Arabidopsis thaliana: one gene and its partner. The protein of the gene in region 1 interacts with the protein of each later gene in a biochemical or structural test. Each region holds a gene or a part of one and is shown in the gene's direction. Other genes may lie near its edges.

Region 1 (6,893 bases):
TTTATGGTAACCCCAAATGTATTATATCTACTATAAAAACACACAGAAATCCACCTAATGATTCAATTAACGGAAGCAAAGATTTGAAACTATAGTGGTCGGATGGAAGAAAGTATCGATAGAGTCATAGAGATGTGGTCTTTTTTTAATGTATTAAGATCTTAGCTAAATAACTTCTGATTCTCATTAATTGTAAAGTATGTGTACAATGAACTATATATACAAGTATCAATACGCACATGTAAATGTCAACTATACTATATACAATCAACTAACTATATACACATATCTAATAGAATGAATCCTCAAACAACACACTATTAAACCAACTTGAATCGTCAAAGTAATTCACTCGTAAACACATCAAATACTTAGTGATTCCACACTAAAACTCACATGCAAATAGAATTCAAATACTACACACTTTGGACAAAAAAAAATAACTAAAAGTCTAAAACGTTTACCGAATATTTTTCAATGTTGATTCTTTATGGCCATGGGGAGAAGTCAATCTTTGTGGTATACTGTATTTACTCACTACTCATACAAAATTGCAAATTAGTCTGATTTCGATTGGAATTACTTGTTGAGCGGTCAAATAACTTGACGTTCAAGAGAATACAGAACAAAATTCATACAAAACAGATATAAGGATTAGTGGTAGTGAAAAGAAGAATTTACATAAAGAATTATTTAAAAATATTGGGGCCAAAGGAATCATAACCTCTCATGCCACTAAACCACGAGCTAATTGATGTTGTTTCTTTTGTGGGGCTTTTTCTCTATTACTCTCCACTATTCGGTCCTTTATTTATTAAACAGAATCAATAAAATATACTCTATAGTCTTCAACAGTATGATATATTACAAATTTATAACACACAAAATCACACTATAGGTGATAAGATTTGCACTATTAATTGCAATGGAAAAATGTTCTAAGAATAATTATTTCTTACTAGAAACTATTGATCTTAAAGAAATAGTCTCTTGTGCAATTGAATGGTAGCTAGGGTATAACCAATTGAAACATTTTAAAATATGACTTGTGTATATTTTTTTCTTTAATATGTGTATATGATTATTTATCAATGAACATTTCAAAATAGCATTTTCTCGTTGGCTGAAATAATCAAGCTAATATTTTGCTTAAGTCATACAAATCTACTCATAAACTTGGTGGAAGAAGGCAGTGTAATGATGAAAAGGATGGAGTGTGTGACATGGAACATGATATAAAGGCTCATCTATGGCATATTATATGAAACTAAACTAATTAAAATCACATAAAAATGGAAAAAGAAGTGAGCAACATTATGGTTACACCTTAAAGTTTGTTATTGTAATTTGTAAAGTCACTTCTCTGTTCATTCCCCCACGCCTCTGCCTCGACAGTGAACATTGGATCAACCAAATTTTACAAAAGACCATTTCATATGCGATGCATATTATGACTAAATTGGGTCCCAATTATTTTGACCACACACCCCACCATATGAAATATTTGTATATCGGTTTGGAATAATTTCTCCCAAAATTCCTTTCAATATAATTGCCATTCTTTTGTAAAAGGTTTTGTTTTTTTTTTAAATAAAGTATTAATACAATACACAACAAAAACAAAACAAATTATCCCAAAATTCCAAACTTGATGTGATTATAGACTAGAATTTCTATTATGTTCGTTTTTATTAGTGTTGTCACTATATCACTAACTATATTCATATTCAGTTGCTTGTCAATTATTTTTTTTTGCCAGTCTTAGATTTATTATTTATTGCACTGTTACATAGACGATTCTACAACGGACAATTCCTTCCGACTCTTATTAGATCTAGTTGCTTGTCATCTAATATTTAAATTATTTTAAGAAATGTTATACAACTAATATTTAAATCATTTTAAGAAATGTTATACAACAATAGTATATAGCTAAATTTTTAAATGGAAGTTTATATAATACTACACTTTTTCTTCATTGAAATTTGTGAAACATCTCATAGATACAATTCCCATTTAGAAAATTAGCAGTGATCATAATTCTTTCTAAGGTTCAAAATCCCCACATGGAGCTTTAATGAATTAAAATTATGAAACCATTAGAAACAAATAGATATAGGACTAAATGAAACTGAAAACATATTTTTCTAAATATTAGAGTTTTATTCTATAAACTGAACTTAATTTTTTTGATTATCAAACAACATGTATTCTATTAGATTAATAATGTCACTTACACAAATCACTACAAGTCATGATCACAATTCCACAAAATCATAAGATTGATCATAACCATTTAATAAATCAATCATCTATTAGAAAAACATCATATGTAAAAAAAAACGATTCGACAAAGATGTTTTAAAAATAATAAGCATCAACAATTAATAAAACTTAATAAATTACCTAAAAGCAGCTTTTTCTTTTCTTCAAAAAAAGCCCTTTTTCTTCCTCTGCTTTAGCATCGTCTCTTTATCATCTAAATGTTTCAACTTACTTACTTCTCCTTCTCCATTCAAACTCAAAAAACCTCCCTCCAATGACTACTTCACCAATCCGGGTTCGGATCCGGACTCGGATCCAAATCTCCTTCATCTTCCTCCTTACCCATCTCTCACAATCTTCCTCCTCCGACCAATCTTCACTCAAAACCGACTCATTATCACTCCTCTCTTTCAAAACAATGATCCAAGATGATCCAAACAACATTCTCTCAAACTGGTCACCTCGTAAATCCCCTTGTCAATTCTCCGGCGTCACTTGTCTCGGAGGAAGAGTCACCGAGATTAATCTCTCCGGTAGTGGCCTCTCCGGAATCGTCTCCTTCAATGCTTTCACCTCTCTTGATTCTCTCTCTGTTCTCAAACTCTCAGAGAACTTCTTCGTCTTAAACTCAACCTCTCTTCTTCTTCTTCCTTTAACCCTAACTCATCTCGAACTCTCTTCCTCCGGTTTAATCGGAACCCTCCCTGAAAATTTCTTCTCCAAATACTCAAATCTTATTTCCATCACCCTCTCTTACAATAACTTCACCGGAAAGTTACCTAATGATCTTTTCTTAAGCAGCAAGAAACTCCAAACCCTTGATCTTTCTTACAACAACATTACCGGTCCAATCTCCGGTTTAACCATTCCTCTTTCTTCTTGCGTCTCCATGACCTATCTCGATTTCTCCGGTAACAGTATCTCCGGCTATATCTCTGACTCACTCATCAACTGCACCAACCTCAAAAGCTTGAATCTTTCTTACAACAACTTCGATGGGCAGATTCCAAAATCTTTCGGTGAGCTTAAACTCTTACAAAGTTTGGATCTTTCTCATAACCGACTCACCGGTTGGATCCCGCCGGAGATCGGAGATACTTGCCGGTCATTACAAAACCTCCGGCTTTCTTACAACAACTTCACTGGTGTGATCCCTGAGTCGTTGTCCTCATGTTCTTGGCTACAAAGTCTTGACCTTTCAAACAACAACATCTCCGGTCCGTTTCCGAACACTATCCTCCGGAGTTTTGGATCTCTTCAAATCTTACTTCTCAGCAACAACTTAATCTCCGGTGACTTTCCGACTTCAATCTCTGCTTGTAAGAGCTTGAGAATCGCTGACTTCAGCTCGAATCGATTCTCCGGTGTGATTCCACCGGATTTATGTCCCGGAGCAGCTTCATTAGAAGAGCTAAGACTCCCGGATAATCTCGTCACCGGAGAGATTCCACCGGCGATATCTCAATGCTCTGAGCTACGAACGATTGATCTCAGTCTCAATTATCTCAACGGTACAATCCCACCGGAGATCGGAAACCTCCAGAAACTCGAGCAATTCATAGCTTGGTACAACAACATCGCCGGAGAAATCCCACCGGAGATCGGAAAACTACAAAACCTAAAAGATTTGATCCTCAACAACAATCAACTCACCGGAGAAATCCCACCGGAATTTTTCAATTGCAGTAACATCGAATGGGTCTCATTCACAAGCAACAGATTAACCGGAGAAGTGCCTAAAGATTTCGGAATCCTTTCCCGGTTAGCCGTTCTTCAGCTCGGTAACAACAATTTCACCGGAGAAATCCCACCGGAGCTAGGAAAATGCACAACTCTGGTTTGGCTTGATCTTAACACAAACCACTTAACCGGTGAAATCCCTCCCCGGTTAGGTCGTCAACCCGGTTCAAAAGCACTTTCCGGTTTACTCTCAGGAAACACAATGGCTTTTGTTAGAAACGTTGGAAACTCATGTAAAGGTGTTGGAGGTTTGGTTGAGTTCTCAGGGATCAGACCAGAGAGGCTTCTTCAGATTCCATCTCTTAAAAGCTGTGACTTCACAAGAATGTATTCAGGTCCAATTTTGAGTCTATTCACAAGATATCAAACCATTGAGTATCTTGATCTTTCTTATAATCAGCTTAGAGGTAAAATCCCTGATGAGATTGGAGAAATGATTGCTCTTCAAGTTCTTGAGCTTTCTCATAATCAACTCTCCGGCGAGATTCCGTTTACGATTGGTCAGCTCAAGAATCTCGGTGTTTTCGATGCTTCGGATAATCGGTTGCAGGGTCAAATCCCTGAATCTTTCTCGAATTTGTCTTTCTTGGTGCAGATTGATTTGTCGAATAACGAGTTAACTGGTCCGATTCCTCAGAGAGGTCAGTTAAGCACGCTTCCGGCGACTCAGTACGCGAATAATCCGGGGCTTTGCGGTGTTCCTTTACCGGAATGTAAGAATGGAAACAATCAGCTTCCTGCTGGAACAGAGGAAGGGAAACGTGCTAAGCACGGAACTAGGGCAGCTTCTTGGGCGAATAGCATTGTTTTGGGAGTGTTGATTTCCGCTGCTTCGGTTTGTATTTTAATCGTTTGGGCGATTGCGGTTCGTGCGAGGAGGAGAGATGCGGATGATGCGAAGATGCTTCACAGTTTGCAGGCGGTTAATTCCGCCACTACATGGAAGATAGAGAAGGAGAAAGAGCCGTTGAGTATTAATGTAGCGACGTTTCAGCGACAGTTGAGAAAGCTTAAGTTTTCGCAGCTTATCGAGGCGACAAACGGATTCTCAGCCGCGAGTATGATCGGACACGGCGGATTCGGTGAGGTTTTTAAGGCGACGCTTAAAGACGGGTCTTCCGTGGCGATCAAGAAGCTCATTAGACTTAGTTGTCAAGGAGATCGAGAGTTCATGGCAGAAATGGAAACCTTAGGGAAGATCAAACACCGAAACCTCGTACCGCTCTTGGGATACTGTAAAATCGGGGAAGAGAGATTGCTTGTTTACGAGTTTATGCAATACGGAAGCCTCGAGGAGGTGCTTCACGGACCAAGAACAGGCGAAAAACGGAGGATTTTAGGTTGGGAAGAGAGGAAAAAGATTGCAAAAGGAGCAGCAAAAGGACTTTGTTTCTTGCATCACAATTGTATCCCTCACATAATCCACCGCGACATGAAATCGAGCAACGTGCTTCTCGATCAAGACATGGAAGCAAGAGTTTCAGATTTCGGAATGGCGAGACTGATCAGCGCATTAGACACACATTTGAGTGTAAGTACCTTGGCAGGCACGCCAGGTTACGTACCACCAGAGTATTACCAAAGTTTCAGATGTACCGCAAAAGGCGACGTGTACTCAATCGGAGTAGTGATGCTCGAGATCTTAAGCGGGAAAAGACCAACGGATAAAGAAGAGTTTGGTGATACGAATTTAGTAGGTTGGTCGAAGATGAAGGCAAGAGAAGGGAAACACATGGAAGTGATTGATGAAGACCTTCTAAAAGAAGGTTCTTCGGAGTCTCTGAATGAGAAAGAAGGTTTTGAAGGAGGAGTGATTGTGAAAGAAATGTTGAGGTATTTGGAGATAGCGTTACGGTGCGTTGACGATTTCCCATCAAAGAGACCTAATATGTTACAAGTTGTTGCTTCGTTGAGAGAACTTCGTGGAAGTGAAAATAATAGTCACAGTCACAGTAACAGCTTGTAACAACATGAAGATCTCTGTTTTTTTTTGTTTTTCTGGCTTTTTCAATGCATTTTTTTTTCCTGTGAGAATGTGTATGTGTGGTTGATCAATGATTAAAATTTCATGATGTATCAAGACTTAATTAATGTAATTTAAATTCTGATTCCTTTAATAAATAACTATGCAGATTATAACAAATCAGAGTCTTAGTTGGTGAATTGTTCTTTATTACCGAGTGTCGTTAGCTCAATTGGTAAAGACCGTAAACGAAGCTTAGAGAACGCCGATTTGAGTAACGCTTGAAACGAAACTAATATTACACGATGTGGTTTCGTGCATGAAAGGATTACCGACATTGGCCCAGAACTTCCTGGTATTAGAAAAAAAAAAAAAAAAAAATTGTTCTTTATTAAACGCTCGAATACACACGATTAGGCTTTGGATAGAGAACATACAAATGGGCTCAACAACTGAAGTTTCAAAATTATATTTGGGCCATAAAGAACTATTTAGAATATAGAAACATTAGGCCCATAATGACTCTTTCTCCTTCAGGCCTATGAACATCTAACACTATAAGACTATACATTCGTGAGTAGAATATTTTTTTTTGTGAGAATAGTATTTCAAACCACAAAAGAGAATATATTTCAATGTGTTACTTCATTAGTATGTGTGAATTTATACTTGTTGATGTGAATCAAGTAGGTGGTTGTCTAGTAATTTAGAGTTTTCAAATTTCAATAGTTCCATTCTAATTGAAAGAAATGATTAACACATTAACAACGGTATTATCAAACGGTTGTTTTTGGATATGGAGGAGAATATAGGTCAAAAACTGTGGTCACTTTTTCAAAATATAAAAGGAGAATATGGAGGAGAATATAGGTTAAAATATAATCACCTCTAAAATAGAAAAAATTATAGTGGTCACTTTTTCAAA
Region 2 (6,361 bases), on another chromosome or scaffold:
ATGGCTTCATTAAATTAAGCTCTGAGCAAGACCAACTGTGTAACATGCATGCATGGTCGCCTTTCGTTATCAATAAAACGCTGGTATCTTGTAGCTTTTGTTTTGTCAAAAGAACTTACACTATTACCAAGTCAGCCGTCTGAATTGGACCTTTGTCAAGCCACAGGCTCCACATTTTCGATCTTTCAAGGGGATGAATCTGTGAAAAGTGATATATCGACACTAATCAGTAACATATATCGAATGTGGTACCCATTTTTCTAATATAAAACTTGCAGAGTAAATTTAATTCATGATGATTAATTACTTTCCGTGATGAAAGAAACTAAAAGTAAAATTGGCTACATATGCTTTAGCCTTTAGTGTAGCAATGTAGTGTACTTTTTTTGACCTTTAAAACTCATCACTATGACAGAACGCAACAAATACTGATGATCATAATAAATGAGCGAACGAATAATGAATATAGATTCCCACGTCTTTGGATCATATCTATAAAGACAAAATAAGAACCAATCTACGTATTCGTTCTTCAATCCCACACCTCTTGTGTCACTTTCTTCCTTTCTCTTCTCAAAATTTGAAGCTATTTTGCTTCTCTTGGCACAGATTCCACTCTTTATAATCTCAGAATATTATTTTAAGCTTCATTTTAATCAAACGTCAAAAGGTACGTTCGTACGTAGATTCTCTCTTACATTCTTGTCTCTTTTGCGATTTTGTGACTACTGGCTAGCTCAGAGTTTTTGTTTAATCGAAGATCTTTCTTGGTCGTCATGTTATGTTTTGTAGAAGCAGGTGAGTATCAATGGAGAAGAGCTACATGAAGCATGAGCTATGGGGAGATGGAGATTTTCAAGAAGATGATGTGTGGGATGTTCTTGATGGATATCAATCACCGTTTATGATTAGTAGTAACCATACGACTAAACCTTCTTTCTCAACCCAAACTTTACTTCCAAGCGAACCTAGAATGATTCCTGAGAGGCAGAGGACAGAAGGAATGGCACCTATGAGACAACAGTCGGTCCCTGTCAATGTCCCTGATTGGTCAATGGTTCAAAGAAAGAAGACAAAGAAAGTTGTTGATGATGAGAATGTGTCACCGGAGGAATATTTCCTGCGGCGCAGTCGATCATCATCGTCGTCTTCAGTTATGGAAGGAGTTGGAAGAAAACTGAAAGGAAGAGATTTGAGCAAAGTAAGGAATGCAATATTGAAGCAAACTGGATTTCTTGAGTAGACCAAGATTGTATAAATGTTAAGATATGTATGAACCGAATGCTTAGATATTTACCTTAGTTATTAGAGGTGATTTCATTTCTTAAAAACTCTAGTTTGGTAAGATGTATATATATAGGTGGGGCTTTTTTTATTCGTTTGGTTTTTAATATAGGTGATTTGATTTGGCATAGTAAAACAATAATACAGATATAGGTGAATTTTTTTTTTCTTTTGGTTTTAATAAATAGTAGGTGATTTGATTTGGCAAAAATAAAACTATTGTTGAAAATGAATGTTATAAGATTAATTTTTTCTTAACCTAAAGTTAGGTTGTGAAAAAAGACTTGCAAGTAAAGATTGTATGAGCTTAAGATTCATTGAGTTACACGATTCGAACCGTCGATGATAAAGACTATTGATCTTAATTAAGAAAAAAAAAAGGAATCTGAAAAAAGTAGAGGTGAGTTGTTTGTAAGTTGGAAATCGTTGATTGAGGATCATGTGCTGAACACGTGGTCAATGTTGATTCCCTTTGTCGCCATTCTTCGACAGCTTTGTGAACCATGCATGTGAGAGAGCAAATTGAGTTTTAACTTTCGTACCATGTTGAGATTTTCTTAAAACTACAGTAAACACACATAAAAGTTCATATTTATGTAGCTGGTTACTCTAAATTTCTATAAGAAAGACAAAATTCACCTAATATTTTGCCTAAAAACTAACTAATTTGATTTGTTTATTGGTTTAGAGTTTTGACAAAGGTTAGTTGGTCAAAATTTATGCGTAGAGTGGTCCTGTCGGTAGCTTCAATTTTAATTAGTTTCTCTTAATCCAATCTACTTGATATTATTACTGTAAAGTGAAAATTAACTAATAAAGCAAAAATAATAATATAATTTTAATTAGCCCAACACTAAAATCGCAACTAAATAAGATTCGATTCATCTTCTTCCAGCTTCGAATTCCACGCACCAAAGGCAAAGACACAAAGCCACGGCTTTTCTCTCTTGTCGTTTTCCACATACATTCGTCTTTTCATAGGATCAATCTAATATCACGATCTATACTTTCTCTGTTTACATTCTCGTTTCCGAGGAGAAAAGTCTCGATCTTCTGGATCTGGGGTTTGGTTTGGTTTGGGGTTGACTCGGTTTTGACTCGGGACAAGTCGTCTCGTGAGATGGATGTCTCTCGTTTATTAGTATCTCTTTGAGAGTCTGTCTTTCTGGGTTCAATAGATTCTTATAGTTTCGCTTAGAAACACGCACAAAAAGATGTCGTTGAAGCATCATCACAGAGGATTAGAGCTCTCTGCTTCGAAGAGTTTTGTCTCAAAGAAATGGACTTTATTTCTCTGTATCGGTTTCTTCTGCGCAGGAATTCTCTTCTCCGACAGGTAACAAAACAATGCTCTCTAATGAACTCACTTATTCTTTTCTTATTTCTTCAGTTATACGATTTTCCCGGGAATTTTTTTTATCTCTTTTAGGACTGTCGGTGGGTAAAATTATCTCATTTTCGAAACACCCAGATTTGTAAATCTAACGACTTTTCGTGAAAATTCATGCTGTGAAAGTTTTGGGTCCAATTTTTTCCGGGAAAGTGTGATTAAATTTTCTTGTTTCGCAAATTTTTTAATTTCATTCACTATTGGAAAGGTTGTAATTCTTCACAAAGGTAACGAAAAGTACATCCTGAGATTTATTTATAGACAAAAGTATATTCTTTATGGACAAAGTAGTTCATGGAAGAACCAAAATCAATCGCAAGCTGTTGATCGTCTAATAGTAGACTAATCAGACTGTGTTTGTTAATAGAATGTGGCCAGAGCCTGAATCCAATGTTGTATCAAGGGACACAGTAGCATCAGATGAACGGCTGCGGTTAGAGTCTGAGGACTGTGATTCATCAAAAGTAAGTTTCTAATTTAGGTGAATTGATAGTCATGAGCACTAGAGGAGTTTTTGATTCCTGAGTTTCATAGCATTATTTCTGTTTATCAGAAGGGTTTAAAGCGTGAATCGAAAGACATCCTTGGAGATGTTTACAAGAGTCCAGATGCAATTCAGTAAGTGGAAATCATATGATTTAGAACTTCTTTTTGACTTTGAATGCGGGTTTGCATTGAACTTTTTGGTTTTGCTTCAATGGTGTTGTGTAGAACGCTTGATAAAACGATTTCAAAGCTGGAAACAGAACTGGCCGATGCAAGAGCTGCGCAAGAATCTATCATGAATGGTTCACCAGTTTCTGATGACTTTAAGCTCCCTGAAACTGTCACTAAAAGAAAGTATCTGATGGTTGTTGGTGTTAATACTGCGTTTAGCAGCAGAAAGCGCAGGGATTCAGTCCGTGCTACTTGGATGCCTCCCGGTATGTTGATCTAAGCAGCGGTTTCAGCCTTAAGTATATTGTCTGGGACTAAACATGTGTCTTCTTTAGGTGAGGAGAGAAAGAAGCTCGAGGAAGAGAAAGGGATCGTGATGCGGTTTGTGATAGGCCATAGGTAAAACTTGTACCATAAGAGTGGCAAAAATCGTTATTTGCGAGGTTTATTCGGTTAGAGATTTCCTGATTGAGTGTTTTCTGTGGGCAGTTCTACTCCCGGTGGAATTCTTGATAGAGCGATTCAGGCTGAAGAAAGTAAACATGGAGACTTCTTGAGGCTGGTAAGACTTGTGCGGGTCATTTTTCTCATGGAATTATACTTGTTGTGGGCAGGTTCACGGCAGTCACATTTTACCGATATTCAGGCTTTCTGTTTTTAAATTCTTATGTTTGTTTGAGCAGGATCATGTTGAAGGTTATCTCGAGCTGTCAGCAAAGACTAAAACTTACTTTACCACGGCTTTTGCAATGTGGGATGCAGACTTCTACGTCAAAGTCGATGATGATGTGCATGTAAATATAGGTGAATATAAACTCTCTTAAAGTATCTGAATTGTTTTGTTTCTTGTCATCTCAAGTTTGTGCCTTTGCTCACTTCTGTCATGGATATTTCTGCAGCCACGCTTGGAGCAGAATTAGCAAGATACCGGATGAAGCCCCGAGTGTACATTGGTTGCATGAAATCTGGACCTGTTCTTGCTCAGAAGTAAGTTGTTCACCTTCCTTCAAGAGACCACTCCTCATTTTTAATGTTTGTCTCACTTTCATCTCTCTCTGAAATTTCCAATTTTAGAGGAGTGAGATATCATGAACCCGAATACTGGAAATTTGGAGAAGAGGGTAACAAATACTTCCGCCATGCCACAGGTCAGCTCTATGCAATATCCAGGGAGTTGGCGTCTTACATATCGATAAACCAGTGAGTTATTTCCCACTGCCTTGACAATCCAAAAAATTAATCTGCTTTATGCTTAAACGCTCATACGCTGATTGTGTATTAACCAAGGACGAATTGTGTATACAGAAACGTACTTCACAAATATGTGAATGAAGATGTCTCTTTAGGATCATGGTTTCTTGGATTAGATGTGGAGCATGTAGATGACCGTAGGCTATGTTGTGGTACAACAGGTAAAAAAAATTCAAGTTCCCTTATCTATGTCCAAGTATGGAAGTTTTCTCGATTCCATTTGTTGATCAATGAGAAACTGCAGATTGTGAGTGGAAGGCGCAGGCGGGCAACATCTGTGTTGCCTCGTTCGATTGGAGCTGCAGTGGGATTTGTAGATCAGCGGATAGGATGAAGGATGTTCATCGTAGGTGTGGAGAAGGTGAAAAGGCCCTTCTGGCTGCATCTTTCTGAACACAATAACTAAAGAAACACATTGAGGAAGAAGAGTACAGAGACAAATCCGCTCGACAGTCTACACTTGGTAGTATAGACACACAGTCAAACTCTCTCTATATATGTATGTATGTATGTATGTATGTATGTATCTTGTGAACTGAGATGAGAAGGGTGCTTTTTGCCCTCCTTTCTTGTTTCTTTATGCTTTTCTCAATTCTCTGAAGGTCTGGAGTTCTTTGCACACAGAAAATGCAGATTTTAGCTGCAAAGGCGGACTCCATGAGTGCACCTTCAGAGTCATTTCATTGAGGCGTTTTCTCTGCCTTTTGAGCTTTTCTTCTTCATTTCTTTTTGGATTTTGCCTATTTTGTTCATTTTTTCCTTTGCCATGATTGTGGTGAAACATGGGTTGTTTATGTGTGTACTTGAAACACAAAACTAGTCAATAAAGATTAGACCATATGAGAAGAAATTCAGAAGCTTAATAAAAACTTTTCTTGGTTAAGAGGAATGTGTACACAATGATTTCTGGCAGGTATATTCCACTTGCGGGAGATGCTTAGTTCAGCAATTGAGTGTTTTGGAAAGAGTCAGGTGAATCATTTGGGATGTCCACTAGCATGTAACAGATGAACAATGCTAAGATCTCTATACATGAGGATCATATTGCTTTAATAACATATTTGACAGGTATATTCAGGATTTTAATTGTACAATCAGGAACATGTTTCCATTTAGTTGTTTCGTCTTTCTCTAGCAGATCCCTGGCAAGTTGTTGGTGTCATCATCAACTGGAAACAGAAAAGCGAACTGGTGATCGTCAAGGACAAGGTTGTTCTCTGTTGTTATCACAGAGGATTGCCCGTTTGAGATTTCTTCACTTTCACTTCCCCAGTCAAGAAGCTTTGTTATGTCCTCATCTTGCATTGTGTTCATCTGGAGAGACTCATCTTCCTTTGGTGTTAAACCTGTGTCAATCAAAATAAAATAAAATTCAAACACTTGTTTTTGCAGATTGAAGCATTTTGAGTTGTCTGATTATTATTACCTTGCAAGGAACATAGACTGTTGGAAGAAACACGATGTCCGAAACCTCCCGAGAAAAAGTTGTTGTTGTTGTTGTTGTCCTCAAGCGCAGCCATGATTTGTCTCCGCTTAGGAGCACGAAAGCTATCAGCTAGAGCCTCGGCCTCCTCCATAAGATCCTCTAACAGCTGACAGGTATTTGTATGCAAACCGGTGTTCAGGTTTTGGTTACAATCCCCATTGTCTGAGAACTTGCTTACTTGATAGACTCCTAAAGAGGCAGAGTATGGAATTTGGTTTGAAGAGAGCTCATGTTTCATGGAGTAAACCGGATTGGTAGACTGATAGGAGGAAAGAGAGGAATGGGTGTGAAGA

What was found.
Region 2: the proteins of BRL2 (region 1) and AT4G26940 form a complex in vitro, tested with the Arabidopsis thaliana proteins (one study listed by BioGRID).

What each region holds. Positions count from the first base shown.
Region 1 is NC_003071.7:439,883-446,775, reverse strand, and holds BRL2 (BRI1-like 2), read left to right. Parts: upstream 1-2,451; 5' UTR 2,452-2,539; coding exon 2,540-5,971; 3' UTR 5,972-6,152; downstream 6,153-6,893. UniProt on the Arabidopsis thaliana protein: Receptor with a serine/threonine-protein kinase activity, which may transduce extracellular spatial and temporal signals into downstream cell differentiation responses in provascular and procambial cells.
Region 2 is NC_003075.7:13,528,525-13,534,885, reverse strand, and holds AT4G26940 (Galactosyltransferase family protein), read left to right. Parts: upstream 1-2,130; 5' UTR 2,131-2,498; coding exon 2,499-2,620; intron 2,621-3,041; coding exon 3,042-3,138; intron 3,139-3,227; coding exon 3,228-3,292; intron 3,293-3,385; coding exon 3,386-3,597; intron 3,598-3,666; coding exon 3,667-3,730; intron 3,731-3,820; coding exon 3,821-3,893; intron 3,894-4,014; coding exon 4,015-4,135; intron 4,136-4,230; coding exon 4,231-4,318; intron 4,319-4,405; coding exon 4,406-4,531; intron 4,532-4,636; coding exon 4,637-4,743; intron 4,744-4,826; coding exon 4,827-4,975; 3' UTR 4,976-5,626; downstream 5,627-6,361. Other genes in the region: AT4G26950 (senescence regulator (Protein of unknown function, DUF584)), read left to right, coding at 809-1,243; MYB97 (myb domain protein 97), read right to left, coding at 5,714-5,928, 6,009-6,361. UniProt on the Arabidopsis thaliana protein: Beta-1,3-galactosyltransferase that transfers galactose from UDP-galactose to substrates with a terminal glycosyl residue.